Saccharomyces cerevisiae S288C: one gene and its partners. The gene in region 2 interacts genetically with the main gene of each other region. Each region holds a gene or a part of one and is shown on either strand. Other genes may lie near its edges.

Region 1 (9,409 bases), on a different chromosome or scaffold from region 2:
CCTATTGTTCCGAATATTGTCTCACCTGGATATGAATGATTTACAAAACATAGGGAAAACTTGCACCTTGCTAAGGATGCTGGCGAATGAGAACATTGTTTACAGAAATGCTGTTATCGGCTCAAACGGGAATATGTGGTGGACAAAAAATGTTCTTGTTGATGTCTTTGATGTTTTGAATTTTAATAGAAAGGCAATGAAAACCTTAAATAGTCACAACATATCCCTGGTCGCATCATTAAGAAATGTTCAGCGGAAATATAAACTAGGCGTTATTGATCCGGCTAGAAAGACAATAAGTTATAGAACAAATGAAGTTGAGAGCAAAGAAAAGGGCTCTGTGAAAGATTTAAATATGGATTTGAACGAACCTACAGAAATAACAAGGGAGCAAATCGCTCATACTGCAATACTACAAGGAATGAATCAATTCATCGAACTCAATGATAAAGCATTTAGGACCCATTCAGCGGATTCTGATGATACATACATAGAGGAGAATAATGGAGAAATACATTCTCTCCACGGATTGGAAAAAAATACAACATTTGAAGAAGACTTAGTCAAAAAGCCACCTTTTATCCCTTCTCCGACATTTTCTAATTATTCTAGAAGTTCAACAAATTCTGTATTTTCAAGTTCATCGCCCAAACTACTGGACGATGATTGGAATAATATTACAATGGATTTCACTAAGTCACGAGATCCTGATTATAAAGAGATGACGCCTACATCTACTGAATCGTCTGACTCAATCACAAGATTGAGAAAATCTAATAAAGTCAAGGATAAAGCCGAACTTTTTGAGAAGTTAATTTTTAGAGATAGCAGACCATTAAAAACAAAGAAAAAGGACAATCCAAGATTGAAATTATCCAGTTCGTTAAGTGCTAATGACGAAGATTTTAGGAAAATCATAAGTCCCCCTTCTGACATACTACCGAAAGTTGGCAGAAGGAGCGTCTCAAGAGGTTATTTAGAGGAGATTGAAAGGCATTATCCCGATTTTAACGGTGAAACAACTAATCCTCTAGCAATTAAAAGAGTCAACAGTACAAAGATAGCAAATTATGAACAATTAATTATAAAAGAAAATAGCTCGAACTGTAAAGGAATAACAGAGAAAAATGATGAAAATAAATTTCAAAGAAGTCACACTTCCCCAGTAATAGAATTATCCAAACCTCATCAAAGAAGCAAATTAAAGGCGGTTGTTACAGACGGTAATAAGATATGCTATCGCAAAATCGAATTGGATAACCCTAGTGGGTCGAATACGAATGATCATGTAATCAAACGGCTTGACGCTAATACCGATTTTAATATATAACAGAAAACGCCTCAAACCGACTTTGCTTGGAAGAGTTTTCTCTGAATTAGCAACGGAACTTCGAAATGGTTTTAGACAAGCATGCATGGTATGTAGAAACAGTTAAAGAGCGCCGCTACCATTTGCACAGATGTACATATAAATAAATGACTTATTTTTTATATTCTATCAATAATAAGACAATTTGTGGTTGCCTTTAGAAATTTCGTGGCTTTTTTTCATATATTCTAACTTCAATAAAGTTTTTTTGATGCGAAATTTGATCGCTCATATTAAGGACGCCTGAAAAAGACATGCGTCTACATTTTGTGTCATTCCCATAAGAATAGTAAGAACAGGCATTTTTATAAATCGATACAAAAAAAGAGCTACTATACGTACATAAAGTCAGTAAATAATCAAATGTTCCCAATGAAAGATCACTCAGCTCTTGAACAACATACTCTCAGCAGAGATGAGTTAAGACGTCGCAAGGGTTACAAGAAAGGACTGCAGTTGTCAATTTTGTTACTTGGAGAAAAAGGCAGCGGCAAATCAACGTTTTTAAACAATCTGTGCGGTCAGGATATATCGCTTTCTGATGGGGATTATGATGATGATGATGATAAAGTGACAAATAATGTAACACCAGAAAATGGAAACGCCATCGAAGATATAGATCCTGGATATAAAACAGCCCATTTGAGTCCTGGGCTGAAGCTTGTCACCAGAAGAGTGTATTTGAACGATGAACTAGGCGTACCCATAACATTAGATATCATATTGTTTCCAGGCTGCGGTGACAATGTCGACAATTCACAAAGCTCTGTTGTTATAAAAAACTACTTAGACCAACAGTTTGCAAATGTTTTAAAAGAAGAGGTCAGAATAAAGAGAAACACAAAAGAAACTGATGGGAGGCCTCATGTTTGTTTATACTTTCTGAAGAGTACTCCAAGAGGAGTCAAAAAATTTGATATTGAGTTAATGAAAACGATTTGTGATAAAGTTAATTTAATTCCCATTATTCCAAAAGCCGATGGTCTCACAGAAACTGAATTAAATTTACACAAAGACATTGTGCGCCAAGAAATCTCTCAGAACAATATACGTGTTTTTGATTTTAAAAGTGACACCCTAGGCGAAACATTAGCTCTGTACGATATGGACATCGATTCCAGTTCAGCAAAATCCAAATACGATAATGACACGAAGATCAAGGAAATATCGCCATTTGCCATTGTTTGCAGCAAAACTTTTAATAAAAATTCGGAAAATAGGGTTGAGCATATCAGAACGTACGAATGGGGTAGCTTGGTGGTCGAAGACCAAAACACCTCCGATTTTATATACTTAAAAGCAATACTGTTAGGTTCTCACCTTCAGGAATTAAAAGATGTAACAAACAACGTATTGTATGAAAATTATAGGGCTAAAGTGTTAACTGAGAAGAAAAACAACTATGATATTCCAAACTATAGCTATATCGACGAAACCTCAAGGGGAAGTGTCAGCAATGTTTCCACCAGAAGAAATAGTGCAAGTAGAACACTTGGGAATCCAGATACAAACGATGAAAATGCTTATCAAATACACAAAGAAATAGACGAAAAAAACAGAATTATTGAAGACTATCAAAGGAAGATTGATTTATTGGAGAAAATGTTGGCAGCTCCCCATCAAAATAAGGTCTAAATAAATATACGGCCTTGTTAGCGTTAGATACATATGAAATAAAATTTTATTGCTTTTTCAAGTGCACTAAAGTATAAGGCAAAATTTTTTTAATCTATAATATACTTTCTCGATGTGTCTCTATATAACCTTGTGTCTTTCTTATTACTGGCACGGCTTTGAATTTTCAGAGTGCAGTTCTGATTAAACACGCGAGGATTTTTGTTCGTGGATATTTGCAACGATGAGCAATGTGAAGTGAGCAAGATAGAGAAACGCCATAGAAAAGAGCATAGTGAGAAAATCTTCAACATCAGGGCTATGTCAGGCCAGTTAGTTCAATGGAAAAGCTCTCCAGATCGAGTCACCCAAAGCGCTATAAAGGAAGCACTGCATTCTCCCTTGGCTGATGGCGACATGAACGAAATGAATGTTCCCGTTGATCCGTTGGAAAACAAGGTAAATAGCACAAACATAATCGAAGGAAGTCCCAAAGCAAATCCAAATCCTGTCAAGTTTATGAATACAAGTGAGATATTTCAAAAATCTCTGGGATTACTTGACGAGAGTCCAAGACATGATGATGAGTTAAATATTGAAGTAGGAGATAATGATCGACCAAATGCTAACATATTGCATAATGAAAGGACTCCTGACCTTGACCGAATTGCTAACTTTTTCAAAAGCAATCGAACCCCTGGTAAAGAAAATCTTTTGACCAAATATCAAAGCTCCGATCTGGAAGACACTCCTCTGATGTTAAGAAAAAAAATGACTTTTCAAACTCCAACTGATCCATTGGAACAGAAAACCTTCAAAAAGTTGAAGTCAGATACTGGGTTTTGCTATTATGGAGAGCAGAATGATGGAGAAGAAAATGCGTCATTAGAAGTTACAGAGGCGGATGCCACTTTTGTACAGATGGCTGAACGTTCTGCTGATAATTATGACTGTGCATTGGAAGGAATTGTTACACCTAAAAGATATAAAGACGAATTAAGTAAAAGTGGAGGAATGCAAGATGAACGAGTTCAAAAAACTCAAATCATGATATCAGCAGAATCACCTAATTCGATAAGCTCTTATGACAAGAACAAAATTACCGGGAATGGCCGGACCACAAGAAATGTAAACAAGGTTTTTAACAATAACGAAGATAACATAGGAGCTATCGAGGAAAAAAATCCAGTAAAAAAGAAAAGTGAGAACTATTCATCAGATGATCTCAGAGAACGGAACAATCAAATAATACAAAGTAATGAATCAGAGGAGATTAACGAATTGGAAAAGAATCTGAATGTTTCGGGTAGAGAGAATGACGTGAACAATTTAGATATCGATATTAATAGTGCTGTGTCTGGCACCCCTTCACGCAACAATGCGGAAGAAGAAATGTATTCCAGTGAGAGTGTAAACAATCGGGAACCATCCAAGAAGTGGATATTCCGATACTCAAAAGACAAAACGGAAAATAATAGCAATAGATCTACGCAAATAGTCAATAATCCAAGAACACAGGAAATGCCTTTAGATAGTATTTCAATCGATACGCAACCCTTATCTAAAAGTTTCAATACCGAAACAAATAATGAATTAGAGACACAGATAATTGTTTCATCGCTTTCCCAAGGCATATCTGCTCAGAAGGGACCTGTTTTTCATTCTACTGGCCAGACAGAAGAAATAAAAACCCAAATAATAAATTCTCCTGAACAAAATGCTTTGAATGCAACCTTTGAAACTCCCGTTACTCTTTCTCGGATTAATTTTGAACCCATATTGGAAGTTCCTGAGACTAGTTCACCATCTAAGAATACGATGTCAAAACCCTCGAATTCTTCACCTATTCCGAAGGAAAAAGATACATTTAATATACACGAGAGAGAAGTAGAGACAAACAATGTTTTTTCAAACGATATACAAAATTCTTCAAATGCAGCTACCAGAGATGACATTATCATAGCCGGTTCATCTGATTTCAACGAACAAAAGGAAATAACCGATAGAATATACTTACAACTTTCAGGAAAGCAAATATCTGATTCAGGAAGTGATGAAACAGAACGTATGTCCCCAAATGAGCTTGATACGAAAAAGGAAAGTACAATCATGAGCGAGGTTGAACTAACCCAAGAACTGCCTGAAGTTGAAGAGCAGCAAGATCTTCAAACGTCTCCAAAAAAGCTGGTAGTCGAGGAAGAAACTTTAATGGAGATAAAAAAAAGCAAGGGGAACTCACTTCAGCTTCATGATGATAATAAAGAATGCAATTCAGATAAACAAGATGGCACAGAGTCTTTGGATGTAGCTTTGATTGAACACGAAAGCAAAGGACAGAGCTCAGAACTTCAGAAAAACCTCATGCAATTATTTCCAAGTGAGTCACAGGAGATTATTCAGAACCGAAGAACAATAAAGCGACGTCAAAAAGATACAATAGAGATCGGTGAAGAGGAGGAGAACAGAAGCACTAAGACATCACCGACAAAACACCTCAAAAGAAATTCAGATTTGGATGCTGCTTCTATCAAAAGGGAACCGTCTTGCAGCATTACCATACAAACAGGGGAGACAGGTTCGGGCAAAGACTCTAAAGAACAGTCTTACGTGTTTCCTGAAGGTATTAGAACGGCAGATAATAGTTTCTTATCGAAAGACGACATAATTTTTGGAAATGCGGTATGGTGTCAGTATACGTGGAATTACAAATTTTATCCGGGTATTTTATTGGAAGTTGACACTAATCAAGATGGCTGTTGGATTTATTTCGAAACAGGAAGATCGCTAACCAAAGATGAGGACATCTACTACTTAGATATTAGAATAGGGGATGCTGTTACCTTTGATGGAAATGAGTACGTAGTCGTTGGTCTAGAATGTCGTAGCCATGATCTCAACATAATAAGATGTATTCGAGGATATGATACGGTTCATTTGAAAAAAAAAAATGCAAGCGGATTGTTGGGGAAAAGGACGTTAATTAAAGCACTAAGCTCGATCAGTCTTGACCTAAGCGAGTGGGCTAAAAGAGCGAAGATCATATTAGAAGATAATGAGAAAAATAAAGGCGACGCGTATAGGTACTTGAGACATCCCATTAGGGGAAGGAAATCAATGACCAATGTTCTGTCTCCGAAGAAACATACTGATGACGAAAAGGACATAAATACGCATACTGAAGTGTACAATAACGAAATAGAATCGAGCTCCGAAAAGAAGGAAATTGTTAAAAAGGATTCTAGAGACGCATTAGCTGAACATGCAGGAGCGCCAAGCCTGCTTTTTTCTTCTGGTGAAATCAGAACAGGGAATGTATTTGATAAATGTATTTTTGTTTTGACAAGCCTATTCGAAAATAGAGAGGAACTTCGACAGACCATTGAATCGCAAGGCGGCACTGTAATTGAGTCAGGATTTTCCACTTTATTTAACTTCACTCATCCGCTAGCTAAATCTTTAGTCAATAAAGGTAATACAGATAATATTCGAGAATTGGCCTTGAAGCTAGCCTGGAAACCTCATTCCCTATTTGCAGACTGCAGATTTGCTTGCCTAATCACAAAACGGCATTTAAGAAGCTTAAAGTACTTAGAAACTTTGGCGTTGGGGTGGCCTACACTACACTGGAAATTCATAAGTGCATGCATTGAAAAGAAAAGAATAGTACCACATTTAATATACCAATACCTATTACCTTCGGGTGAAAGTTTTCGGTTATCGTTAGATTCTCCATCAAAGGGAGGAATCATTAAATCCAACAATATTTTTTCATTTTATACACAATTCTTACGCGGATCTAATTTAAGAGATCAGATATGTGGAGTGAAGAAAATGTTAAATGACTACATTGTTATTGTTTGGGGTAGATCTGAGTTGGACAGTTTTGTCAAATTTGCTTTTGCATGTTTGAGCGCAGGTAGAATGCTTACAATTGATTTACCCAATATTGATGTAGATGATACAGAGCCATTGTTAAATGCCTTAGATTCTTTAGTACCCAGAATAGGATCAGAATTATCTAATCGAAAGTTAAAGTTTCTCATATATGCTAACGAAAATAATGGTAAATCTCAGATGAAGCTTCTCGAAAGATTGAGAAGTCAAATATCACTGAAATTTAAGAAATTTAATTACATATTTCACACTGAATCTAAAGAATGGCTAATTCAGACAATAATTAACGAGGACACTGGTTTTCACGATGATATTACGGACAATGATATATACAACACTATTTCTGAGGTTAGATGAAATTATAAAAATATATAAACTCATAATTGATAGAAAGGGACGATTAAATAAAAAAAAATTTAGAGATTCTTAATTAAGTCTAAGAACATCCTCCCACACGCCAGGAGTGGTTAATGTTCAAGATTGGTATTAGTTATACACGGTAACCAACAACGTTGGTAAGGTCTTTTTCTTCTATACATGAATTTTAAGATCAAGCATATATTTTAGGCTTGCATCTTGTAATGAACTAACTTTCATAAATAGCTTTTCTTTTTTGTATGAGGTATAAGATGAAAAATGTTAAACATGATACAGGATTTAATATAAAATGGACCAAAATAAGGAGCAATAACGAGATTCACCCCAATGGGTGAGATGAGAAACGCCAAGGTAGTGAAATATTTTTGTGCAACAATTTCAAAGATAAGATCGGTGTTCTCCCGCAGTAGTCCACTTCAGTCGCATGCATGGCTGTTTGATGAGAAATAAAATGAGATATTCAAAATCTCATCAGAAAGAGTTGAGTACTGGGACGACACATATCAGCAACGAGACATAATCGTCAACTGTTTCCCTTTAGATGATTTTCCAAAGTGTGGAAATCACTTGCCATCTTATCTAACATGTGACAATGAATGTAGTTTTCTTTAACATTGGTGAAAAATAACTTGGCAATAGTAACATATTTCAGAGATAATTGGTACTTTTCGGCAAATCCTTGCCCCTTTCCACCATTTTTATGTTTTGATGAATGATTTTCCCCGTAACGTAAAAGATTCAAAGTAGAAACAGTTTGATGCGAATCATTTAAGCCGCTGAAGTTAATACCTTCTAGGCCGGTATCCGATAGGAAATGTGCTGAACGAGGCAAGTCTGTCACTGCCCTGTCCCCATTATCAAAGGAAAATTCATTTCGAATAGGATCCTCCATATTCAAAAAAGAGGTATCGTTAAAAGAGTTAACTAGGATTTCATTAATAAACATTGCAAGCCCTTCAACATTGATCTTTTTGGCTAACTTAGTCTTAACAGCTGCACTTGCACCATTATGGTGTTCATTTGCGGATAAACCAGGGACAAGCATACCATTATCTTTATTTATAAATTGTTGCGTAAATACAACATCAGGAAATCCAGAAAACTCTTGCGGATACAATCTTGAAAGTGTGGGAAGTAAAATAGAATTCGCAAGGCTTCTCAACTCAATAAAAATTCTCAGTAACTTAAAATTTGGAGTTGCTTCAAAATCCAATAAAAATTTGATAATTAGGATGAAGCAATAGTAATAGCCTTGTAAATTGAAGACAGAAAGCGCTTGATTATTCAGGTGGATCCTTGGCAGCTCTGGAGAATTCATTCTTTGGGAGCAATCACTTTCTTCTTCTACGTATAAAGACGAAATATTACGGATTGAAAAGTTCAACGCTACTAAAAATTCACACAATACTTCAACTGAATAATTCTTCAAAAAATTCAACCTCACAGAGTTCAAAAAGGAATCATATATCTTTGCTATTTGTCCTTTTCTAACCTTCTCAGTAAACGAGCGATCAATCTGTTTGATGAATCTCATTGACATTAAATTATTTTTCAAAATTATGGTGTCATCAATTAAGATCGCAATATTTTTATTGGTTGCTGCCATATTATCATTGCCATAGGAAGAAGTGTCAAGACTCCTCTCTAGCCTTTTCGTATCGATTCGATCCAAAAACACATGTGATTTGGTTCCTTTTCTTAAATCGTATTCATAATAAATCATAGATGACCCTAAAAATTCTGGTATTGAGTGTAAGTGTCCATACGTGAAACTGTAATAAAAGTTTCTAAAATCATAAAAATTTTGCTTTTGCACAACATGCCCATTACATATTATCGATTCACTGGCCCATTTTGACTCATTGTCGGGAATATAAATGGTTTCAACATCTTTTTCCTTTATAGACAAATCGAATTTAATATGGAAGAAACATTTCAAGAACTGACAAAAATCATAAGCCATTAAGGTGCATCTAATTTTTGACTCAAAAATGATGTATTGAAGAGGAGAACCAAATGTTAAAGGTTCATTGTTATTATTGATACTCTTCTCAGAATTTGCAGAAATTGTCGGTAAACAGTTTGATCTGATCGTTGAACATAATGCGGACAATTGCCTTTTCATCAAAGAGGAGTCAATTTTCTCCAAATAAT
Region 2 (7,392 bases):
TATTATATATGGGACTAGGTGATAAGATAAAAGTTAAAACGGGACTCTTGTATGACCTGGTCAACGATATCATAAACCGTGAAGTCATATTCTATGATGGCTTTCTCCAAGAACAGTGTTGTCACCTCTTGTGACCGCAAGTGTATCCCCACGAGGACATGGAATTGCAAATTGTAGGTAGTTTGTAACCAGTGTTTGAGTTGCTTGAGCGTCTTCAGAAACGGATCTATCAGGTACTCGTTGTATATGACATCCATAGCTATAACGTACACGGAAGAACATGTTTCACCTATGAGTGACAACTCAGGATGCAGAGAGTGGGTCTTTTTGTCTTGCAAGTTTATCTTCTCCCAGTCTAGAGCGGCTACTTCCAAATGCAACGTAGACTTAGATGGAAGTGACGCTGCGGTGATATCAGCGTCGCCAACTGGTTCGACGGTGGGAAGTTCCAATCTTAGTGATCGGGAAATGCACCGCTTTCTGGTCAACTGTGATAAGTTTTCCATGATGTTATCTTTTAATTTATTAAGAATGCCCTTCTGATCTGTCGACACGTAGGTGTCGACGAAGTTACCAAGAATCACGGGCAAAATACCTGATATTCCTGCTCCAAGTTCCAAGATACCTCTCTTGCCGCGATCAGCGCCCGTGAGGTCGACCAGCCTGGGCAACTCAAGCTTGTGCCCCTCGCAAGAAGACCCGCAGGTTACTTCCACCTGACTCCCAAGACGGAAAGGTGCAGCGCTAGTACTATACAGCAGCCAGTTGATGAAGAAAGGTGTGGTAGACCACAAAACGTATCCTGTGGTGGAGTTTCCGTTGTCTCTGGACGAGCGCAAGCTTGATATGGACTGCCCCACGCTAACATGATAGCTATCCACAGCAACATTCTGATCTTCTTCAACACTACTAGCCTTATTTCTTCTTCTCACTCGCTTTTTTTTTCTGCCGCCTTCCAGCCCAGAGGGTTCAAACGTTATCTCTAGCACACCGCCCCTTCTATCCTGAATACCCAAATCCTGCGCCAGTTTCCCGGACTGGCCCTCCAATTGTGTGTACCGTTCGAACACGTGCTCGTATATTGTTTCCTCATCCAGTAGCCATAACTTGAATGCCATTCTGCCTAGCCCATTTGCGTCTTCGCTGCCGTAACCATTCTCTCTTCTTGACAGCACTGCCTTGGTCAGTTCTCTATATTTGTCGCGCCGCCGCAAAATGCACCCACATTAAAGAAGACGACGCCAATCGACACCCTAATTTGGAGGTGTAGATGCACAATGGCACATGCAGTTGGGTGCATTGTGCCAGCAATCTCGTCTCGATTTCTCTACATGTAACTTGTATATATATTTGAGAGAAGACATAATCGTTGGTGGGACTTGGAGGCTCTTGGTAGGTCGTATTTGTGCATCTTGAGAGAAAGCGAAACAGTGCTGCAAACTCAATACGTAAAAAATAACGCAATATGTGGGCTCAATTATCATATACTAGACCAGAATCTCAGAAGACTGACTTAACGTCGTTGTTTTCCACAGATCAAGAGCAAAATCCATTAAATGACTACCAGTACCAGATCAATATTAGGGAACTGGAGGAGTATTACAACAAGACGATTTTAAACGAGGATAACATACAGGAAACAAGCAGTGAAATATCTTCGGCAGTTTCATTCTCTCCACCAAAAAATACAAACGCTATTCAACCGGGGCTACTGTATGATCCACAGTTAATGAACCCTTTTCTCCCATCCGCTCACCTGAATAGCACGGCACCTACTACTTTTAAAAAGAAACTAGAGGTACAAATAAATCCGGACTATGTCCCAAAATCTTCACAATTACCATTAACTTCACAGAATTTGCAACAGTTGTCTCAACAAAAGCCCAAAAATGATGCTTCTTTTTCATCAGAGAAGGAATCCTCAGCTCAACCTAAGGTGAAAAGCCAAGTGCAGGAAACTCCCAAACAATTATACAAGACAGAGCTGTGCGAATCATTCACTTTAAAAGGAAGTTGCCCTTATGGCAGTAAGTGTCAGTTTGCTCACGGACTCGGCGAATTAAAGGTTAAGAAATCGTGCAAGAATTTCAGGACGAAGCCCTGTGTGAATTGGGAGAAACTAGGTTATTGTCCTTATGGCAGAAGATGCTGCTTCAAACATGGCGACGACAACGACATTGCTGTTTACGTGAAAGCTGGTACTTACTGTAACGTCTCTTCGACTAGCAAACAATCAGACGAAAAGAGAAGCAATGGTCGCGGCTCCGCCAAGAAGAAGAATCTAAATGTTAAAGTAAAGGCTTTGCAGAGAATGACCTGGTGAAACAATTCCTGGCCTGGCGAAGACCGGCGTCTCAACTAAACTCAATTATTTATTATTTTTTTCTCCATGTTATGCTTTTTTTTTTTCTGCTTTTTTTTTTTTATTCTCATTTTCATGTTTGCGATATTGGTAACTCTAAAAAAAAAAAACTTTTATTTAAGTTAAGCTACTTCATGACGGTATATATGCATATTTGTGTACGTGTATTCTTCATCTATACGTAACGTTTGTTTTGTTTTGTTTTTGTTTTGTCAAATTCTCAATCATTCGGCACTACTTTTTATCGTTTCTCAGACATATTCCTTGAACATCGGCCCATTCTCTGATGGTCATTTCGTCGATTTGCGAAACAAATGGCTCGGCGCTGAACAGCTTTTCAATTAGCTCATTTAGCGGAATGGGTTCAAAGGTATATATTCGCTCCAAAAAATCAGGGAAGGCTTCAATTAGTTCGGTTAAATGATCAAATATTTCTATCTTACTGAAATTTGCCACCCCACCATGCTCACCTTTATTATCTGGATTAGCTGTGGACAGAATTTGAGATGCAGTTTGTAAGGATTGAATGATTTCAACCTTCGTCCTCATAGGTTTCAACCCCACTGTTTTCAAGCTTTGTCGAAGCTCTTTCATTGATTGGGACATCATGATCTCACAAAATTTCTCGGGAGAAGCTATGGAACTAGCTGCAGAGGTATCAATAATGTCGTTGCTAGTAGTAGGATTTTGTGTAGAATCTTTAGTCGAAATTTTGGAGGAATCTACCAATTGGATATCAGCAATGCAGAATTGGTCATCAAATTCTGTCTCCTCTTCTTCAGAATCATTTGCCTCAACTCTATAAAAGTTATGTTTCACCAGTTTGGGGTTTAGCTTAACTACGCTTTCTTGCAATAATTTAACTCTGATGGAACTTCCTATGTTATTCTTTTCTTCTTCAGTTTTTAAAGTTGTAGTAAGGTTCTTTTGAGGAATAATTGTAGGGGTTCTTGTAGCTGGTACCTGAACCTGATTTGATGCTTGTGATGTTACCCCTGTTTTGTTGTTTTCTACTTTCAAAGGTGATATTAACGATCGAACAGCTTTGAATGATTCCTGTGTTAAATCGATTATCCCATCCAAAGGCGATGTGTTTGGAGTGAAAAACTGTGTGCTGCCTATCGTGTCGGTGGCTAATGGTGGTCTTTCATCATTTTCAATGAAAACATACCGATACTGGTCTAGTGGAAACAATGTGGATGTCTCATCTGTAGTATCTGAGACAATAGAAATATTGTCATAATCATTATCCGTACTGTTTTCGCATCTTCTACTTACCTCAACAGACATAGGTTTGCAAGCTTTATAATCTGTCAGTGAAAATGCATTTATACGTGTTCCCACAGCCAGTTCAATATCTTCACCAACAACATTTCCTACCGGTTGTTGTGGCTCTAACCCGTTTCCATATTCTTGAGAGCTTGTAGAATCTCCCCGTGAAATAATTATGCTTTCTTCGTCTTTCATAATTTCACTTTTGTCATCCATTACTTGAGACAACGATAAGAAATTTACTGCACTTTGGGTATCGCGTATCCTTTCTTCCTGCTCTGGTTGAATAGCCTCATCGGGAAGCTCGGGTGGTAATTGTGATGCTGTCCAAAGTCTTTGTTGTGAGGATTCTTGATTGTCTAGAGAATTCGAGCTTTTTTCGCTTCCATATAAAAATTTCTGGACTTCATTCAAATCCGTTTCCTCACTTTGCGGAAACTTTTGTAGAAGAAGTTTCATAATATCTTTCCACTCCTGTTCACTATATGTATCAAAAGTAGCTTTTTCACCCTTGTTATTCCTTGCTCTGGGAGGTTTATCACTGTTTCCTTCATTTTGCGTCTTTATTATGTCCAAAACCTTCTTGTGCTTACCTGATAATTGCTTTAATAAGCTGGCAGTCCTTGAACGTTCGTAGTTATTAATATTGAAATCAGTTATATTTTTGATAATTTTAGGGTCTCGTTTAGTTTTAGGTTTTGTTTTGAGTTTCGAATTAGCCTTCCTTATTGCTGGTCTTCTTTTAGCTGTTACATTTGCATTGCTGTGGGTATCATCTGCGTTACTACTCTTGAACGAATACTTGAATTTTTCAAGTTTTAACTTAAGATTTGTTTCTTCCTCTGCGTCATCAAGTCGGCTTTGAATTTGAGTGTTAATGAATATGTTCTCCTCGATATTTGATCCGCCTAAATCGGGATGGGAAGTGCTGACTGGGTTACAACTTTTATCAACATCTTTATTTCTTTCTGTATCGTTTTTCGTAGTCTCTTGCGTCATAGGCGATTTTTGTGCAGTTACGCTTTTTACTTGCGTACCTATTGAATCATCATCAGATGATAAGGAAAACTGCATTTCCGGTACTTGAGTTTCCATTCCTAAAGAGTAAGCATTCTGGCTCTCTCCATTCAGGTTAGTTTGATCGGTAACGTTCACATAATCCTCGTTTTGTAAAAACTTCAAATTCCGTTGTGCCCTCTGAAGTTCCATTATTAAGTTCCCCAACTGAACTACTGGTTATTATTATGGAACAGAGATAGATAATATCTCTCTTGCTTGTTCGGAGTTCCATTCATCTCTATATTTTTAGTATGCAGCTTTCGCGTTATAAATTAAACAAAAAACCACTAAGTGACAAAGAACTACGCATATTAATAGTATACAACAAAAACAAAGGAAAAAAAGAAATGAAATCAATTGGCGAAGCAGAACAAGTTTTCTTTTCCCTACAATGATTGTAAATTCATATATGGTGCTCTACTGGTGATTTTTCATCGAACAAAAACCCGTTTTTAGGAAGGACAGAGGTCCATATCAATATAATTAAGAAGGCATGTTGGCCTCTGTTTCTTAATATATTCTAAATAAGATGTAAGGCCTTGTAATTCAGTTTGTTCACAAAATTAAAAACTGTTTAATGTTTTTTGTTTTGTTGTAGTATTCGAGCATTAAGGATAAAAAAAGCTTGTGAATAAAAATCTTTCGCTAAAAATCAATATAAGAAAATGGTAAGCAGCTGAAAGATAATAAGGTATGGTTAAAGATCACACCACCCTCTTCAATTAGCTAAGATCATAGCTAAAGGTACAAAACCGAATACGAAAGTAAATAAATTAATCAGCATAAAATTAAATAATAAACCACCTAAAATATTAGAAGCTAATCTTTAACCTGGAAGACAGGACAGAAAAGTAATTACAAGAACATATGTGAAAAAAAATAGTTGATATTTTAAACCAAATCAGAAATTTATTATACTAAAACTATATCTATGCCAATTATTTACCTAAACATCTATAACCTTCAAAAGTAAAAAAATACACAAACGTTGAATCATGAGTTTTATGTTAATTAGCTTATTGTTTAGCGTTAGTAGCGGCAGTCAATTGAGCTTGTTTAACCAAGTTTTGTGGAGCATCAAAGACTGGCAACATAACTTCAATCATTCTAATCTTAGAGTTGTCTTGGAAGTCCTTGTCTTGAGTCAACTTTTCCCATTCACCAGTGGTAGCAACTCTGTGGGTTTCGTAGTTTCTAGCACCAAAAGTTGGCAATAAGGCCAAGTGGTCCCAACCTTGAATTTCATTATATTCGGCATGAGGACCGTGAATCAATTTTTCAATGGTGTAACCGTTGTTATTCAAGACAAAAATGTATGGCTTCAAACCCCATCTAATCATGGTAGAGATTTCTTGAACAGTCAATTGTAGAGAACCGTCACCAATGAATAAAATAACTCTCTTCTTTGGATCAAGTTCTTCAGCGGCCATAGTAGCACCCAATAGAGCGCCGACTGTGAAACCAATGGAACCCCACAAGACTTGGACGATAGCGTATACATCTGTTGGGAAAGTAGTTTGGTTAATACCGAAGGCGGAAGTACCGGTTTCAGCAATAACAATATCACCTTCTCTCAAGAAGTTACCCAAATGGTTCCACATCCATTCTTGCTTCATTGGAGTGTTAGCTGGAGTAGACTTGGTAATTGGAACTCTAGCTGGGACAGCAACAGGTTTGTAGTCCTTGACGACTTCTGGAATAGCATCCAACAATTTTTGCAAGGCAAATTTCATTTGAACACCTGGGAAGGTGGCGTTTCTGATCTTGATGTGGTCAGAGTGGAATTCAACGATATTTTTGGTCTTGTAGGAGTAAGAGAAAGAACCGGTATTGAAATCAGACAACAAAGCACCGATAGACAATATCAAATCAGCAGATTCTACAGCCTTCTTAACTTCTGGTCTAGACAAGGTACCAACGTAAACACCACCGTATCTTGGGTGTTGTTCGTCAATAGCACCCTTACCCATTGGGGTGACGTAAACTGGGAATTGAGTCAAGTCCATCAACTTCTTAGTTTCAGCCTTGACATCATGTCTAGAAGCACAAGCATCAGCCAAGATAACTGGGTTCTTAGCATCCTTGATCAATTCAACAACAGTTCTAACAACTTCAGCTTCAGCTTCAGCGTCGTTTGGCTTCAAAGACAAGTCAATTGGAGTTTCCAATAACTTGGCTGGGACGTTCAAGTCAACCAAGTTAGCTGGCAAACCCAAGTAGACTGGTCTTTGGGTAGTGTAGGTGGTTCTGATACATCTGTCAATTTCAGCTGGAGCGTTAGCAATATCAGTGATCATGGCAGTGGTTTCAGAAATGTTGGCAGACATTCTGTGGAAAACAGTGAAGTCACCGTTACCCAAGGTATGATGCAACAACAATTGCTTAGCTTGAGAAGAGATGGATGGAACACCAACAACGTGCAAAACACCGACATGTTCAGCGTAAGAACCGGCAATACCATTCAAAGCAGACAATTCACCAACACCGAAGGTGGTAATAATACAGGACATACCCTTGATACGAGCGTAACCATCAGCAGCATAGGCAGCGTTCAATTCGTTAGCGTTACCAGCCCATCTCATACCTTTGACTTCATAAAGCTTATCCAAAAGAGACAAGTTAAAGTCACCTGGCAAACCGAAGACGGTGTTACAGTTGACTTGGCTCAATCTTTCAAATAAATATTTACCTAAGGTTAT
Region 3 (9,743 bases), on a different chromosome or scaffold from region 2:
CAAAAATAGGTGCGTGGACTCTGGACATGCAAGATTTGTTCTAAGTGATTTTAGGTTGTGTAGGTATCAATTTAGAGAAAACGCTCTGAAGGGTAATTTGCCAGGTGTTAAGAAGGGTATTTGGTAAAAAATTTTATCGCGAAAGTATATATATATATATATATAGGATACGCACTTGTAAATAAATACATGATAATTTTTATTCTTCTTTAATAGATGATAATACTTACTGAGCAATACACTTATATGTAGAGAAGAATAAGATTATACACATACTGGGAGAAAAACAAGTAGCTATAGTTAGAGCTAAAATAACAAAAAAAGGCATACGTACATACAATGAGAAAAGGAATGGGATTGAAAAAGGGCAGTATCTGCCACTAAGTTAACGACTGAGAGATCGAGACACTCCTATAACAAGACACACTTCTTCTTCTTCTTTTCAGTAGTGTTCTTCTTAGCTTTACCATTCGTTTTAGATTTACCCATCAATGAAGCTCTAGTGGCGGCCTCAAACACTTCTCTGACACCATAACCAGTCTTGGCCGAACATTCGTAGTATCCGGTTGCGCCAATCTGGTCTGCTACAGATTGTCCCTCCTGTGATGTAACGGGTTGTTGACCTTCTTGTCTTAATTGTTCAATGGTTTGTGGGTCGTTTCTCAAATCCACTTTACAACCAACAAGAATAATTGGCACACCTTGACAGAAATGTAATACTTCGGCAATCCATTTTTCTTGTACATTCTCTAAAGAATCTGGAAGATCGATAGAGAAACAAATTAATACGACATTGGAGTCTGGGTATGACAATGGTCTTAGTCTATCATAATCTTCTTGACCAGCGGTATCCCATAGCGCTAGCTCTACACGACGCCCATCAACTTCAACATCTGCTACATAGTTTTCAAAGACAGTTGGTACGTAGACTTCTGGAAATTGGCCCTTGGAAAAGACGATTAATAAACATGTCTTACCACAGGCACCATCACCAACGATTACCAGCTTTCTTCTGATACTGTTACCAACTTGTTGTGACATCTTTCTAGTATAATTTTTAAAGTTCTATGATTTTCTATTAGTGCAACAATAAACCTCTAACAGCGATTCTTTTGTTTTATTAATTTTGTTCCTTTTTTGAGTTTTGTAACTTTAAGTTTGGGTTGTTCCAAAAATGTTTTTGCAATACTCAGAGGAATGATCGATGGTCGAAACGATATTAAAGACGAATTCCTGCTGGTAAAATAAATATATACGATTAGGATAAAGAAGTATTTGTATCAACTACTAAAACATGTAGTACCCAATACAAATCAAACAAAAATTGTATAATCTGTTTATTTTTTTTTCTGAGGCGAAGCAAATTGGAAACAACAAGAATTCTTGTATCTTTTTTTAGCCCCTTGTCACGCTGCACGACGCGTAGCACATTGATCGAGAATCACGATTTTATCAGCGACAATGTTATTGGAAATGAGGGAATTATACTGTGTTCTTGCAGTTATCGCTAAGGTTCCATAACCCAACCTCACAGATGAGGTCAGATTTAACTATTGACCTTCTTGAAACCAAATAGCCAGAATTCCATCTTGGTTCGTATTCGTCCTGGCAAGGCAACCTGTCCTTGCCGAATTTGTGAATTGTTTGATCTGCCATTAGCACATATAAAGTTTGTACTGCGGGATCGTAACTAATATCTTGAATAGGCTTGTCCAATGCTACCGCATTATAGGGAGATAGTCTTTTAGTTCTCATTGCAGTGCTTCCTAATATAGAACTTATATCCTCAAAATAACGGGATGATACATGATCCTCATATACTATAGTGGCGGCTCGGCGTAGTGAAGGTTTTGGTGTAGAAGAGTGGTTTCGCCAAAAGAGTAGTAAATTTCTACGCTGCCTTAGGGCAACCTCTGCTTCGTCATTCTCCGACCGTATGCCTTCGCTGTAACGATTTACGTGCCTCTCACCATGTAAAACATCATACAAAGCCATAGTGCCAAATTGAAATCCTTCAGGAAAGTCAACCTCGAATATGTCGTCGACTCTCCCATTCCCATATTCATCTGGTAGGCTGCCTGTTTCGTTATTAAGCCCAACTTTGATGGTGGGTAAAGAGTAAAAAATTAATCTTGAATCTAAATCGTTCCTATTTCCACAGTAAGCGGCAACAACAAAGCAGCATTCATTTAATGGTATTATCTTTTGAACTTTTGAATCAGGATACATTTCCAAGGGATACACCCTTCTCGATTCGTCAGATGATGAAGAGAAATCCTTAATCAAGTAGAGCTTTTCGCCCATATTTGTGGTAGCAATGATATTATCGCCTACTACAGTAAACGTCTTAACTGTACTCCAACTCTTAAATGTAAACCGGGTTTCCAAAGTGAGCCGCAAAGTCGTATTATTTCTCTCCTCCTGGTCAATGCAATGTTTTGTGACTTTCAACTTGTTAAAGGACATTTCGTTATCGGTGCCCATAACTTTATAATCCAGAAAGAATATTTCACCTCTGGGAGTAATGACCAAATGATTGAGGAGTCTTGAATTGTCAAGTTTATACGAATCTATTATTTGATTGGAAATTTTGTTTTTTGCAGCAGTTAATAAAACTAGTTTTAATGAGCTAGTAAAAGAGATCAATAATACAGTTTTCTTTTCTAAAGGATTGTCCTCTGTTGCTATTGGTAATTCCTTTATTTCTAGGATTTCTTCAGAATCATCCTTAAGAAGTTGAGAATCTAAACCAACTGCCTTACCATCTGATAGTCTAATACACTCCCATTCCCTCAAGTCCTGATTCAATACCAGCATTCGATTTATTTTGTCTAGATATAAAAATTTCTTATTTTTGCTTCTTGTAGATTTTAATAAGAAATTTCCATTATTTGATGTTAGGTATGATAGTTCGAGGATTCTTAAGCCATCAGAGTAGAGTATGAATAATTGGTTGTTTTCTATGTCCGGACAGACTTCAAGAATTGAATTGTTATTACCTAGGTGCGGTAATTTTAGCTTGTAAAAATCCAATTCTCTACTGTCGTGAATTGGCGTTAAATTGATGACAAAAATTTCAAATGCACTAAATGCCAAACATTGATTCACACCAAAGCTTCTAAATTTAATATCTTTCCCTTGAAAATTAACTCTGCTTGTACATCTGGATCCTTTTTTGAAGCAGTTGTTCTGTAAAGTGTGCACCTCAAAATATGATTCATAATCGAGAGAGCAAAAATAAGGGCCGTTTATTAACGCCTGCTGAACACTCAAAATATACACATCAGAAAAATCAAGTGAATCACTAATCCAGTCAGAAAAGGGTGTACGAATGACACAGTCTGGTAAAAGGATCCAAATGTCATACTTGGTTGGATCATCTGTAGACTCTTTGATTTGAAAATTGACACTCGTGACAGTTCCTAACTGCTTGAAGAACTTGCTCATGCCTTTGCTGCTGCTTAAGTTTGAAACTAAGGCGCCAGACTCATCAACAGCGTCTATATTTTCAATATAAGAGACACAGCCAAGCCCAGCATTCCAAACTATTAAAATACCATCATTGTATGTAACGTTTTCGAATTCCCAACCTGGAGAAATCTTACGCAACTCTTTGTCCCCACCAATGGGATCGATGTATATCGTATCCCTAGTTACTTGAATCAAGTTATTTTTCGTAAAATTTAGAAGGATAGTTTCGTTTTCAGTATCACATAGTAAATCTTCTATATTTATCAGTCCTTGAACGGGATCATCATTATCGATTGTCGTTGTCATAGTTAAATCTAATAAAAATATTCTGTTGTTAGAAACAGCGTCGGTCGCAAAAATTAACGAACTTTCGGTATTTGACTGGTTTATTCCAAGTCTCTGTAACAGAGCAATATCAAGGTTCTTACATTTCCATATCCTAAGATGTCTAAAAATTTGAAATTGCTTTAAGTGGATAAGTTGATGAGTTTTCCTGAGTTTATAATCAATGCAAGGTTGAGTTATTGCATTTGGTGAGGTAAGCCAAACTTGAGAATTTCTCGTGTCATTGATGTTAGAGCCTGTGTGTGTGTTATAAAATTTAGAAGACGTAAATGCTAAAATTTGAGAGTTCTCCTCTGTGGAACTATCAATTGTGTGCTTGAAGGTGATATTTTTCAAAGGCTTAATAACGTCTTTTTTATCTAAACATCTCAAATCTTCTAGAGATAATGTTAGCTCTAATGTTCTACTAAAACTTATGACCACCAGTACATAACTTGAGGATCTGGAGTCTAAATTTATCGGATTTGAAGGTAGTGGTGAAATGGATTTCAATCCTTTGAACCTAGTTAGCTCGTAAAATTTTAAATTACCATTTACTATTGTCGATCGTTCGGTGACGCAAAAACAAATATTTCCTGTCGAGGAGGATATTATGGTACAATATTGGAATTTTTTAAATGTATGTGGGTGTAGTTCTTGTAATTTTAATAACAATAAAGGAGCTGGAAAAAATGACTTGATTCCCTTGAGAGCCTTCAATTGGAATGAGTGGAATTCAGTCTCTCCTGACATAATTTGATTTGCAGAAACTAAAGAGAACTTTAGGGGTGTTTCGACTAAACATGCATTTAGTCCAATGGGTATTGTCATATTAGTCTTCTCACCATCAAATACTGTCAATTGATATACCTCTTTTTTCTTTATTTCGTTGTTGTTCCATTCTATGACAAAGTAGACTATCCTTTCATATCTTATGGCTGTTATAAATATAATGAAATAGGGATCTAAATCAGTGTAATTTGTTGGGAAAAAGGATCCGTTCATAATCACGGAATCGGTCAATGTTAAATTGTTTACTAATTGAAAAGTAAATGGTAAATGGAATTCAAAAAATTTGCAAATGCCTAGTTCCTTATGTATAAGAACAAACTGCTTCTCGTTTTGGTGCTTGATTATGTTCCACTGACCTTTTTGTCCCAGGTTCCAATATTGTAGCAAATATGTCTCTTTACCGTCATCAAGCGGTAAAATAGACAATAAGTGACCACTTGGTTGAGTGAGTAATATTAAAATTGCAACGTTGTTGGGTTTTATAGCTATGCTGCCAGATATGCCAGACTGTATGTATGTTATTGAAGTGCTACCTGTTTGAAAGATTCCATTGTTGGATACTATTAAACTGAAATGCTTTTGTTGGATTTCTTCCAGCGCCTGCAATTCAATTTTTGGTTCTTTAACATTACCGCTGTCACTGCTCATTTCTATGTCATCCAATGCTTCTATATCTGAATCATCTAAGGTTTCTGGGTTTTTATCAATGTCAAAAAGACTACCTATTAGTGTGTTATACTTTTGAGGGAAGCCGTCTGACAGTTCAGAACGTTCTTGCAAAATGTATTTTAATACTGGTTTAAAATTTATCGGACTTGAGATTGGATAACAAAATTGAGGCATTTGACCAATATTCGAATCGTGATATCTGAGCATCATCATTGATGGTTCTAGCTTTGGCCCTACACAAGGTCTCACCCAAGTTTCATCCTCGGTATTTTGATAAAAAAGCTCAGGTTCATTCCACTCACGTGTGGTGCTTGAATCAATTAATAAATTGGGGGAAACTCGGAATGACTTATGATTCAACCAATCTTGCAGCTCAAGTTTGCCAAAATCCGACGGGCGACGAATATAATGTTCATACCTGTCTAAACCATGAGTTCGCAAACCTAGCATACCTAATTGACACCGTACTACTTTAATTAGACCCAGAAACGAAACGGAATGTGAAGCGATTTCTTCTCTTCTTCCAATTCTTTTGCAGAGCCCATCTCTGGCAAAGGGCCATTTGTTGGAAATCACTCTAACATGGCTTCTGTTTCCCGATAATATGCGGGTAATGCCTCGCACTTCCTTTGGTTTTGAATTTATGCTATTCTCTTTCTTTGCACATCTAACTTGAAGTGATTAGTACCAGATTGAGCTCAGCTTCTCAAAATTATTTCGAACATATCAATTTAGTTTGTAAGTCATAAAAATCGATATTTTTTGCTTTTTCCTTTTTTCCTAAATCTTCTTGACTGCTTGCAATCTTTGTATCTTCATCTTTCCTTTCTCATGTTTCCAAATTTAGCCTGTATATTCATAGAGACTTCTTAAAGTAAATTTTGGCAGGATAATAGGGTACTGAAATCTATGTTGCTTTTTATATCCTGGCGCTACTTAGCCGCCCAACCTTTTTGTCTTCTTGTCTTTTTTTCTTTTTGGCTTTATTTCTCATCAGATCACGCACCACGGAATGAAAATTTTTTTGCGGAAATCAGCATCGCTAAAGAAAAGCAGAAATAGAAGCAGAAGAGATAGATATAACTACAGAGTTAGAGAAGATCAGTAGACCAATAAGCGGGATTATCATAAAACTCGAGTTTATATTAGCTTTCATCTGTCTTTAGGAAAATAATACCATAATAAAAAGGACACATCATGGCTCCACCAAAGAAAACCGTAAAGAAGATGGACCTTACGTCATTTTTAAATGATGACACCTTTGGTTCATCTTGGGCTGAAGAAGATGTCGATTTGAATAAGATCACAATTCCTATTGAAACCGCTAATGCAAACACTATTCCATTGTCCGAATTGGCTCATGCTAAAAACAACAGCAATAACACGCGTTCAGGCGGCTTTGGTGGCAGTTTTGGAGGTAGATCTAGATTAGACCCTGCTTTGGGGGGCGGTTCTTCCGATAGAAGAGAGGAATACCCTGTTCCAGATGCTCCACCATATAGGGCTGTCATAAACAACATTCCATGGGATATTACCCCAGAGGGTGTTCAAGCCTGGGTTGAAGATGGTTTAGTTAAGCCTGAAGCGGTTGAAGAAGTTGTTTTGCCAAAGAATCTAAGAGACCCAACAAGATTAAAGGGTAATGCTTTCGTTACTTTGAAAGAAAGAGCAGATTTGGTCGCCGTTCTGAAGTTCAACGGTACTAAATTGAATGAGAGAACTGTTTACGTTTCTGTTGCGGCTCCAAGAAGAGGGGGAGGTGCAGATGTTGATTGGAGTAGTGCTAGAGGCTCCAATTTCCAAGGTGATGGAAGAGAAGATGCACCAGATCTTGATTGGGGTGCCGCTAGAGGTTCTAACTTCAGAGGTCCAAGAAGAGAAAGAGAAGAAGTTGATATTGACTGGACTGCTGCAAGAGGTTCCAATTTCCAAGGCTCTTCCAGACCACCAAGAAGAGAAAGAGAAGAAGTTGATATCGACTGGAGCGCTGCAAGAGGCTCCAATTTCCAAGGCTCTTCCAGACCACCAAGAAGAGAAAGAGAAGAGCCAGATATTGACTGGAGTGCAGCTAGAGGCTCTAACTTTCAAAGCTCCTCGAGGCCACCAAGAAGAGAAAGAGAAGAGCCAGATATTGACTGGAGTGCAGCCAGAGGTTCCAACTTCCAAAGCTCCTCAAGACCACCAAGAAGAGAAAGAGAAAAGGAAGAACCAGCTTTGGATTGGGGTGCTGCCAGAGGTGCTCAGTTTGGTAAGCCTCAACAAACCAAAAATACCTACAAGGATAGGTCTCTAACTAACAAAAAGACTACTGATGAGCAACCAAAAATCCAGAAGTCTGTTTATGATGTTTTACGTACTGAAGATGATGATGAAGATGAAGAGGCTGAAAAGCAAAATGGAGACGCAAAAGAAAACAAAGTTGATGCGGCAGTTGAAAAGCTACAGGATAAAACTGCTCAATTGACTGTTGAAGATGGTGACAATTGGGAAGTTGTTGGTAAGAAATAGAGTGTTGTATGATGATAAAATGTACATTTGTATTTACTGTTTGCTTTTTTTCTTTCTTGTTTTTCTACTCTCCTTTCTACCAGGTATTCTAACTCTATTATATAATTAAAAAAAAAATAACCATATATTTTGTATTAAGTTTCATACATGTGTTCAAGTGTATTTTTGGATTTATCATTTTTCTATGTGAGGTAAGTTTTTGAATGTCCCATTTTCCTTTCGTTTTTGGAAAGTTCTAAGAAAAAGCATTAACAATTAAAAAAAAAAAAAAAATCTAAATAATACTGATAGAAATATCAAATATAAACTACTAATATCGGTAATATTCAAAAGAAGAAGCATGACTATAAGCGAAGCTCGTCTATCACCGCAAGTCAATCTTCTCCCAATAAAGAGGCACTCAAACGAAGAGGTAGAGGAGACTGCAGCGATTCTAAAAAAGCGTACTATAGATAATGAAAAGTGTAAAGACAGCGACCCTGGTTTTGGTTCCCTTCAAAGAAGGTTACTGCAGCAACTTTATGGCACACTTCCTACGGACGAAAAGATAATCTTCACATATTTACAAGATTGTCAACAAGAGATCGATAGAATCATTAAACAATCCATTATTCAGAAAGAGAGTCATTCAGTAATTCTCGTGGGGCCCAGACAAAGTTACAAAACATACTTATTAGACTATGAACTGTCTTTGTTGCAACAATCTTATAAAGAGCAGTTTATAACTATCAGGTTGAATGGGTTTATTCACTCCGAACAAACAGCTATTAACGGTATAGCAACTCAATTGGAACAGCAGTTGCAGAAAATTCATGGCAGTGAAGAAAAAATTGACGATACTTCATTAGAGACTATTAGCAGTGGTTCTTTGACAGAAGTGTTTGAGAAAATTCTTTTACTCTTAGATTCGACCACGAAGACAAGAAATGAAGATAGTGGTGAGGTTGACAGAGAGAGTATAACAAAGATAACAGTTGTTTTTATATTCGATGAAATTGATACATTTGCTGGGCCTGTGAGGCAAACTTTATTATACAATCTTTTTGACATGGTAGAACATTCTCGGGTACCTGTTTGCATTTTTGGCTGCACAACGAAATTAAATATCTTGGAATATTTAGAAAAGAGGGTAAAGAGTAGATTTTCTCAAAGAGTGATTTATATGCCGCAAATACAGAATCTAGACGATATGGTTGACGCCGTCAGAAATTTACTTACAGTTCGCTCTGAAATCTCCCCCTGGGTTTCACAATGGAATGAAACGTTGGAAAAAGAACTATCCGACCCTCGATCGAATTTGAATAGACATATTAGGATGAATTTCGAAACCTTTAGGTCATTACCTACATTGAAAAATAGCATAATTCCATTAGTAGCGACATCCAAAAATTTTGGTTCACTCTGCACTGCCATAAAATCGTGTTCTTTTCTTGACATATACAATAAGAACCAACTATCTAATAATTTAACAGGAAGGCTCCAATCTTTATCCGATTTAGAGTTAGCCATTTTGATCTCAGCCGCTAGGGTTGCCTTAAGGGCGAAAGACGGATCTTTTAATTTTAATTTAGCTTATGCAGAGTATGAAAAGATGATTAAAGCTATCAACTCCAGAATTCCCACCGTGGCTCCTACTACAAATGTGGGAACAGGTCAAAGTACTTTTTCTATCGACAATACTATCAAACTATGGTTGAAAAAGGACGTCAAGAACGTTTGGGAAAATTTAGTGCAACTGGATTTTTTTACCGAGAAATCAGCCGTTGGTTTGAGAGATAATGCGACCGCAGCATTTTACGCTAGCAATTATCAATTTCAGGGCACCATGATCCCGTTTGACTTGAGAAGTTACCAGATGCAGATCATTCTTCAGGAATTAAGAAGAATTATCCCCAAATCTAATATGTACTACTCCTGGACACAACTGTGAATCTTGGGAACAATATACAGACATTTTATTGGCGGTAGCAACTCTGATA
Region 4 (6,222 bases), on a different chromosome or scaffold from region 2:
AAATTAAGTTGAAAGTTAAAGCTTATGCAGAAGCCACAGGTATACCATTCACTGACATATCTCCTCAAGTCACTGCAATGAGTCATAACAATCTTCAAACGATTAACAACGAAAATAAGAACCCCCATAACAAAAATAGTCATAATCATAATCATAATCATAATCATAACCATGCTCACAATAATAATAACAATAATAATCAAAAGAGTCATACCCGTCATTTTTCTTTACCAGCTAATGCTTACCATAGAAGAAGTAACAGCTCTGTAACCAATAATTTCTCAAACCAATATGCACAAGATCAGAAAATTCACTCTCCGCAACAAATTATGAACTTCAACCAAAACGCATATCCCTCGATGGGAGCACCTTCTTTCAATTCTCAAACTAACCCACCATTGGTAAGCCATAACTCGTTACAAAACTTCGACAACCGCCAGTTTGCAAATTTAATGGCACATCCTAATTCTGCTGCACCAATCCATTCGTTCTCATCATCTAACATTACCAATGTGAATCCTAATGTTTCAAGGGGATTTAAGCAGCCTGGATTTATGATGAATGAAACCGACAAAATTAATGCTAATCACTTCTCGCCATACTCTAATGCAAATAGTCAAAACTTCAATGAATCTTTTGTGCCTCGTATGCAATATCAAACGGAAGGTGCAAACTGGGATTCAAGTTTGTCAATGAAGTCGCAGCATATTGGTCAAGGCCCATATAATCAAGTTAATATGAGCCGCAACGCTAGTATTTCCAATATGCCTGCCATGAATACCGCTAGAACATCTGATGAACTTCAATTCACTTTGCCATAATACTTTTTTTTCTTTCTTTTTCTTTCCTTCTTACTGTACAAATATTTTACGCAGAAATCAAAGACAAAAGAAAAATAAAAAATAAAAAATAAAAAATTCAACTAAGCAATGACGTCCTACTAAAGTCCCAAAATTTGAGCCGGAAAAAAATGGTAAAGCAAACTATTGCCATCTTTATATTTTGTATTCTGTTTCCGAACACGTATCCAAAATCCTCCCACTGCCTTTGCAGGGTTAGCATTGCTCCCTACCAAAATGATCTAATTTTTTTTTGAATCGTTTTTTGTCAACGATTATTTTTGTTTTAAATTCCTCATCTTCTGAACTTACGCCCAACTATTATTTAATTCATTCATTCATTAAGCAATCCATACGTCCATTCATTCATTCAGTTTTCTTTTTGTCTATTACTGTCATTTTATTTTCAAATCCAATTGTCCTTTAGGACACTAATGTGTTAAAATATCCATTCGCTCAAGCATTTTTAATAAATAGGAAAATACCGTTTGTTTTTCTTTGTCATTTGTATAAATTTTTCTACTGGTTCCTGTCTTGGTTGGCTTTATTATATTTAGGTTTAACTTGTACTAACAATGATACATATTTGTATATTTTATTATAATATCATATCTAACTATATCTAAAATCGTTGAACTATTCAGAATGGAATTGTACACCAAGAAGAATTATGCTATAACACCATAAGGTCATTACATTTGGGTTTTGACTGCTAATTAGTTCGAAGTCGGCGTTAAAATTTAAAGAATATTTATACATATGAATATGTATATGAATGCAAAGTATGCTAAAATATTTATAAAGCAAAAATCTCGGTGGGCTAAACTAGGTCAAAGCAGATGTTATGAAGATATTGGCCCCATTGTAGGGATCATCTTCTCTCCGAATTAAGATGCATATTTTTTGAGAAAGTGCTTCTTCAGGTATATCGTAAGGTGAAGTACTGCTCTCTTCACCTAGAGGTTCCACAGCATCAAACGGATTTACGTACCTTGGGGGTATGAAAGCCGAATGTAGGTGGATAGATTCAAACTGGAAGTTTTCTAACCTACAGTAGTTCTTCATACCTCCTATTGGATAGAGGGTGATATTTCCACCTTCGGATTTTTCGTAGTCAAGATTTCCAGATAAAGTGGTACAAAATACTTCAAAATCACCCTTTCCGTCCCTAGCGCTAGTTGAACCATAAATGAAGTAGCGCCCGTCATCCGATATCTCGAGTATTTCTGTATCCTTAGTCACGTTTAAGAACTTAGTTTTAAAAGATACAACCGGGATTTCGGTCAGAATGTCCTCCAGGAACGTATCTGCTATAACCAGTTGTTGCACATTCTCTTTGTCTGCCATTCCAGATATAAGTATTAGGCCTTTATTATTCAATGCTTTTATGGAAACAACAGATTTTAGGGAATTTCTGATAGGTTGATTTCGACTTTCTGATGTCATACCGTTGGTCTTGGAGTACTGTAATGTCATGTTTGTAATATTAGTGAAGACTATTGCCATTGAATCACCATTTCTGTAACCTAAATAAAACACACCGGTGTTCGTTTTTTTTAAAGGTGATAAAGCATCTTCTTGTAGACAAAATGATAGGGAAGTAATGTCACTCCTACTTTTGTGTTTTCTTGAGCTTTTGGCAGGAGAAAAGATATAGGGATTTGGAAAGGTTTCTGGAATCAAATCATAAAAATGACAACGATAATTTACGGTAATAATCAACGTGTCTCCAACAACAAGAGAATCATGGACTTGGCAATTTTCTTTGAGTTTGACCTGACGAATTTTGAGCAGTTTTAAGGAAGAAAAGTCTTGTAAAAAGATGGCAAAAGTATGCACGTTAGATCTGGTATTAACGTTGTGATAAAAATAATGGCTCGGCCCTTCCTTGATGGCAACTGTTCTCTCAAGTTTCATTGTTTTGAACACATCAGTTGGCTCGGACTTATATTTCAACATAGGATTTAATTCAGCCATGGAAAACCCCGTAAAGAAATTTTCTTCAGAAAAATTATCCAGGGATGAAAATCCTGCGACATAGCCCTTGTTTGTTGCAAATACTAATTTACTATGAAAACATCCTTCTTGAGTTACCAATAAAATACAATTTGCTAATACTCCTATCTGTATCCTGTGTGGAAAATTGAGTGATTTTACGTTAGCAGAACTATGTGAGTGATGACCTTCAGTGAGAGAATGCGATGCATACTGCATATTTAAACCAATCATGTACTTTTCATATGATAAAGGGCGAAAAGCCCTTTCCAACGGATTCAGAAGACTAAGCTTGTACTTTTGTAATGTTTGCTGACGTTTTTTTTTAATCATAGAAAATTTTTTATCGTAATTTTCCTCAACACATTGTCGCTTTATATTATCTTTTCTGTACTGGTTCGTCGTTCCCGTGGTAGAAATGCTTTGATTTTCAGATATGCGAAAATAACGTCGACGTTCTCTATCATAATAAAACCCTGGTAAGTTAGGTGTCATTTGTTTAACGTCCGTTAACTTCCCCTTTCTGCTTTACCAACTGCTGCTTATTTATTCGCCCTTTTTTGTTTTCCATTGTTGTTCATCTCATTGCCTTTTTTTATTTTTCAGTTTTTCCCATATGCCAACGAGGAAAAAAGCCCTTTCAACCATACCAAAAAAAATGTATTTGAAGTAATGAATAAAGAATGATGATCGCTGGCGTTTAACATCTAGCATATATCTGCAATAATTTATCACTCCAGAAGAAACATCCATCGTCAACAATTTGATTTAATTGTTCTCTTTTGAATACATATTCTCTCTCGTACGGTGGGATCTTGTTATTGCTTGCCATTAAAAACCTATATTTTGTCTTTCTTCTGATGATTTCCTGGGATTTCTTTTTGTCCTCGTTCCCTTCCTGAGTGGAGGGAAAATCCAGTCTTCCAAAACCTGGGGGGGATTTTGATCTATTCCTCAAGTTATCAAACGCAAATTCGTAGTCCGAATTTTGCGATTCTATAACTACTGACAATGATCTGTGTTTAGAATCCTCTGGCTTTCCAACTTGGGCATAAAATCGCTCCAATTTTCTTCTTCCTCTCTTAACCGGGGCGATATCTTCATTTGGTCTAAAGTCTTCGAGAATCCAGGCTCGCTTTGTTAAAGGGTTCGTATTGAAGTCAAACAGGAAATTATCCTTAACATTTTTGTATAAATTTGGCGATGTAGATTCAGGGTTCTCGAGCTCTATTCCCAATAGTTTTCTTGTTTTGTTCTCTTTATCATTATCTTTTTCGTGGATTACAGTATCAGAGCAATCTTCCAAATCGCTTAAGTTGTTGAGGCCATTTAAAGGCGAACTAAACTCCGAAATTTTCCGTTTATGCCTATTAGGTGGCATAGTAACCAGCGGTAACTGCACAGTGTGTTTATTTTCATTACGATAGTGAACCTCTGCTGATTCTTTCTTTATGTCCTCATCAAACTGAGTAAGGATGAAATCTTCAGAATCTTGCTCACCTGGCCCCGCAGACGTCTGAGAGGATTGTTGAGGAGCATTTTTTTCGTGACATAGAATTTCAGCCAGTTTACTGTTAGGTTCTTCGAGAACACATTTATTCCGATTTTGCAGTGCTTGAACACGTTTCGCGATTAAGGTAGTCACGTCATACTGCACATTTAGTAGTTCATCGAGACTGAGCTCCTTGAGAATGGATAAGCTTGACTTTAGATACACATTTTCTTCACCAGTCACCATCTCACATACAAACACCTAATGGCTTACAGCATGGATGGAAATGCAGGTATGTGAACGATAACAATGTTTGCAAACGTAAACAAAAAAGGTATTAAAGCTTAAAAGCTTTTTTTTTGTAGAACGCGCTTAGAAAATGGCATAAAGAAAATGGCTATTTGACTTGATTTTGAAAGTTGTTCTCAAGACTCGAATGGTGGAAGATAACAACAGGACGTTTATTACATGGCATTGCATCAGTATTTATCAGAGACTTATGGGCCCACGAAACCCAAAAATAAGACGAAAAAGAAGAAGAAAGAGTCAAAATCAGACGCTAACTCAGACAAAACTTCTTTGATAGTAAAAGAACGGCTAAGTACACTGCAACAAGAACAGGAGAAGTCAGGAGTTGCTTCATTCAGCAAGTTTGACAAACAAAAAAGCAAGAATATATGGAAGAACCTGGAAACAAACGAGCTTTCCCATGCAATAACACATCCTTCCGCATCGTCAATTACTGGCAACGAAAGCAAGAACGATCTAAAGGAAATCAGGGCTCAAGAGCCACTTGTCACAGTAGCAGACAAATCGAAAACACGAAAAACCATATACAGAGACGCTCAAGGTCACAAGATTCAGGAAGATTCCAAGATAGACGATTCTAGTTTTAGTCGATCTAAATATGAAGATGAGAAAGCCGCGGAAAGAGAGCAATACCTGAAAAATTTGAATATGGGAGACGTGCAAAAGCTTGGAATAAATGTAGATGCACATGATAAGAAGAAAAATCAAACTGCCTCGAGTCTGACGATAGAAGACCCTGCAATAACATTTACACATGACAAAGAAAGAACTGTAAAAACATCTTTACTGGGCCGCAAGCTTTATGATAAGCCAGCACCTGAGAACAGGTTTGCCATTATGCCTGGGTCAAGATGGGACGGTGTCCACAGATCAAATGGCTTTGAAGAAAAATGGTTTGCTAAGCAAAATGAGATCAATGAGAAGAAAGTGCAAAGCTACACCCTACAGGAGGATTATTGAAAATGAGATAATATATAACTATGCGGAAAGCTTTGTGTAAAAAATACCCTTTGACAATCCCCATTTGTTATAAGCTTTTTCTTAACAAGATCAACGATTAAATACAAATACCCCTCTTTATATAGGTCTCAGATATACTATTAAAGTAACCTCGAATATACTTCGTTTTTAGTCGTATGTTCTAAGTAGATTCGTCTTTTTTATTATCACGGTCAGCAGCATTGCTTTGTGACTTTGGCGATTGACATTCAGTAGAGTTTGTGCCAGAAGAAGGTTTAATCTCGCCTTTCCTACTGTTCTTTGTTTCTCCCCCAATAGTTGAACCATTGCTGTGCTGTTTACCATTAATGAATTTTTTCAAATCTTGGCTTTCCTTTTCATTGACAACAATACGACTTCCTTGATCTGAAACATTTGTCATAGGAGGTGGAGGTGGGAAGGAAATCGGTTGTCCAAACCCATGTGGTGCTGGTGGCGGAATAGACATTCCATTCATATTAGGGTAAGGCATCTGGTGAGGGTGTAATGGGTGAAGACCATTAGGATGCGTCATAAAACCTGGGGGAATATTGTACGGCAAACCAACATCTGCAACATCATTCGCTCCAGGAATAGGACCCCCAACCA

Evidence for each region.
Region 1: of SLX4 (region 2) and RAD9, a mutation in one rescues a mutant of the other (synthetic rescue), as found in Saccharomyces cerevisiae (4 studies listed by BioGRID, with this or other methods).
Region 3: mutations in SLX4 (region 2) and MMS1 together harm fitness more than expected from each alone (negative genetic interaction), as found in Saccharomyces cerevisiae (3 studies listed by BioGRID).
Region 4: mutations in SLX4 (region 2) and SAE2 impair growth when combined (synthetic growth defect), as found in Saccharomyces cerevisiae (3 studies listed by BioGRID, with this or other methods).

Annotation. Positions count from the first base shown.
Region 1 is NC_001136.10:897,376-906,784, reverse strand, and holds RAD9 (chromatin-binding protein RAD9), read left to right. Parts: upstream 1-3,304; coding exon 3,305-7,234; downstream 7,235-9,409. Other genes in the region: MFB1 (Mfb1p), read left to right, coding at 1-1,330; septin SPR28, read left to right, coding at 1,733-3,004; DNA-binding transcription factor ADR1, read right to left, coding at 7,779-9,409. UniProt on the Saccharomyces cerevisiae protein: Essential for cell cycle arrest at the G2 stage following DNA damage by X-irradiation or inactivation of DNA ligase.
Region 2 is NC_001144.5:410,732-418,123, reverse strand, and holds SLX4 (Slx4p), read right to left. Parts: upstream 4,844-7,392; coding exon 2,597-4,843; downstream 1-2,596. Other genes in the region: RKM5 (S-adenosylmethionine-dependent methyltransferase), read right to left, coding at 15-1,118; TIS11 (Tis11p), read left to right, coding at 1,466-2,323; PDC5 (indolepyruvate decarboxylase 5), read right to left, coding at 5,710-7,392. UniProt on the Saccharomyces cerevisiae protein: Regulatory subunit that interacts with and increases the activity of different structure-specific endonucleases. Has several distinct roles in protecting genome stability by resolving diverse forms of deleterious DNA structures.
Region 3 is NC_001148.4:866,666-876,408, reverse strand, and holds MMS1 (Mms1p), read right to left. Parts: upstream 5,707-9,743; coding exon 1,483-5,706; downstream 1-1,482. Other genes in the region: mitochondrial 37S ribosomal protein uS14m MRP2, read left to right, coding at 1-127; Rho family GTPase RHO1, read right to left, coding at 412-1,041; TIF3 (Tif3p), read left to right, coding at 6,454-7,764; ORC4 (origin recognition complex subunit 4), read left to right, coding at 8,105-9,694. UniProt on the Saccharomyces cerevisiae protein: Component of multiple cullin-RING-based E3 ubiquitin-protein ligase complexes (CRLs), which mediate the ubiquitination of target proteins. The CRL associates with CDC34 as the E2 ubiquitin-conjugating enzyme.
Region 4 is NC_001139.9:169,751-175,972, forward strand, and holds SAE2 (ssDNA endodeoxyribonuclease SAE2), read right to left. Parts: upstream 4,573-6,222; coding exon 3,535-4,572; downstream 1-3,534. Other genes in the region: MPT5 (Mpt5p), read left to right, coding at 1-821; YGL176C (uncharacterized protein), read right to left, coding at 1,665-3,329; BUD13 (Bud13p), read left to right, coding at 4,795-5,595; chromatin-binding exonuclease XRN1, read right to left, coding at 5,777-6,222. UniProt on the Saccharomyces cerevisiae protein: Endonuclease that cooperates with the MRX complex in processing meiotic and mitotic double-strand breaks by allowing the endonucleolytic removal of SPO11 from the break sites and ensuring both resection and intrachromosomal association of the broken ends.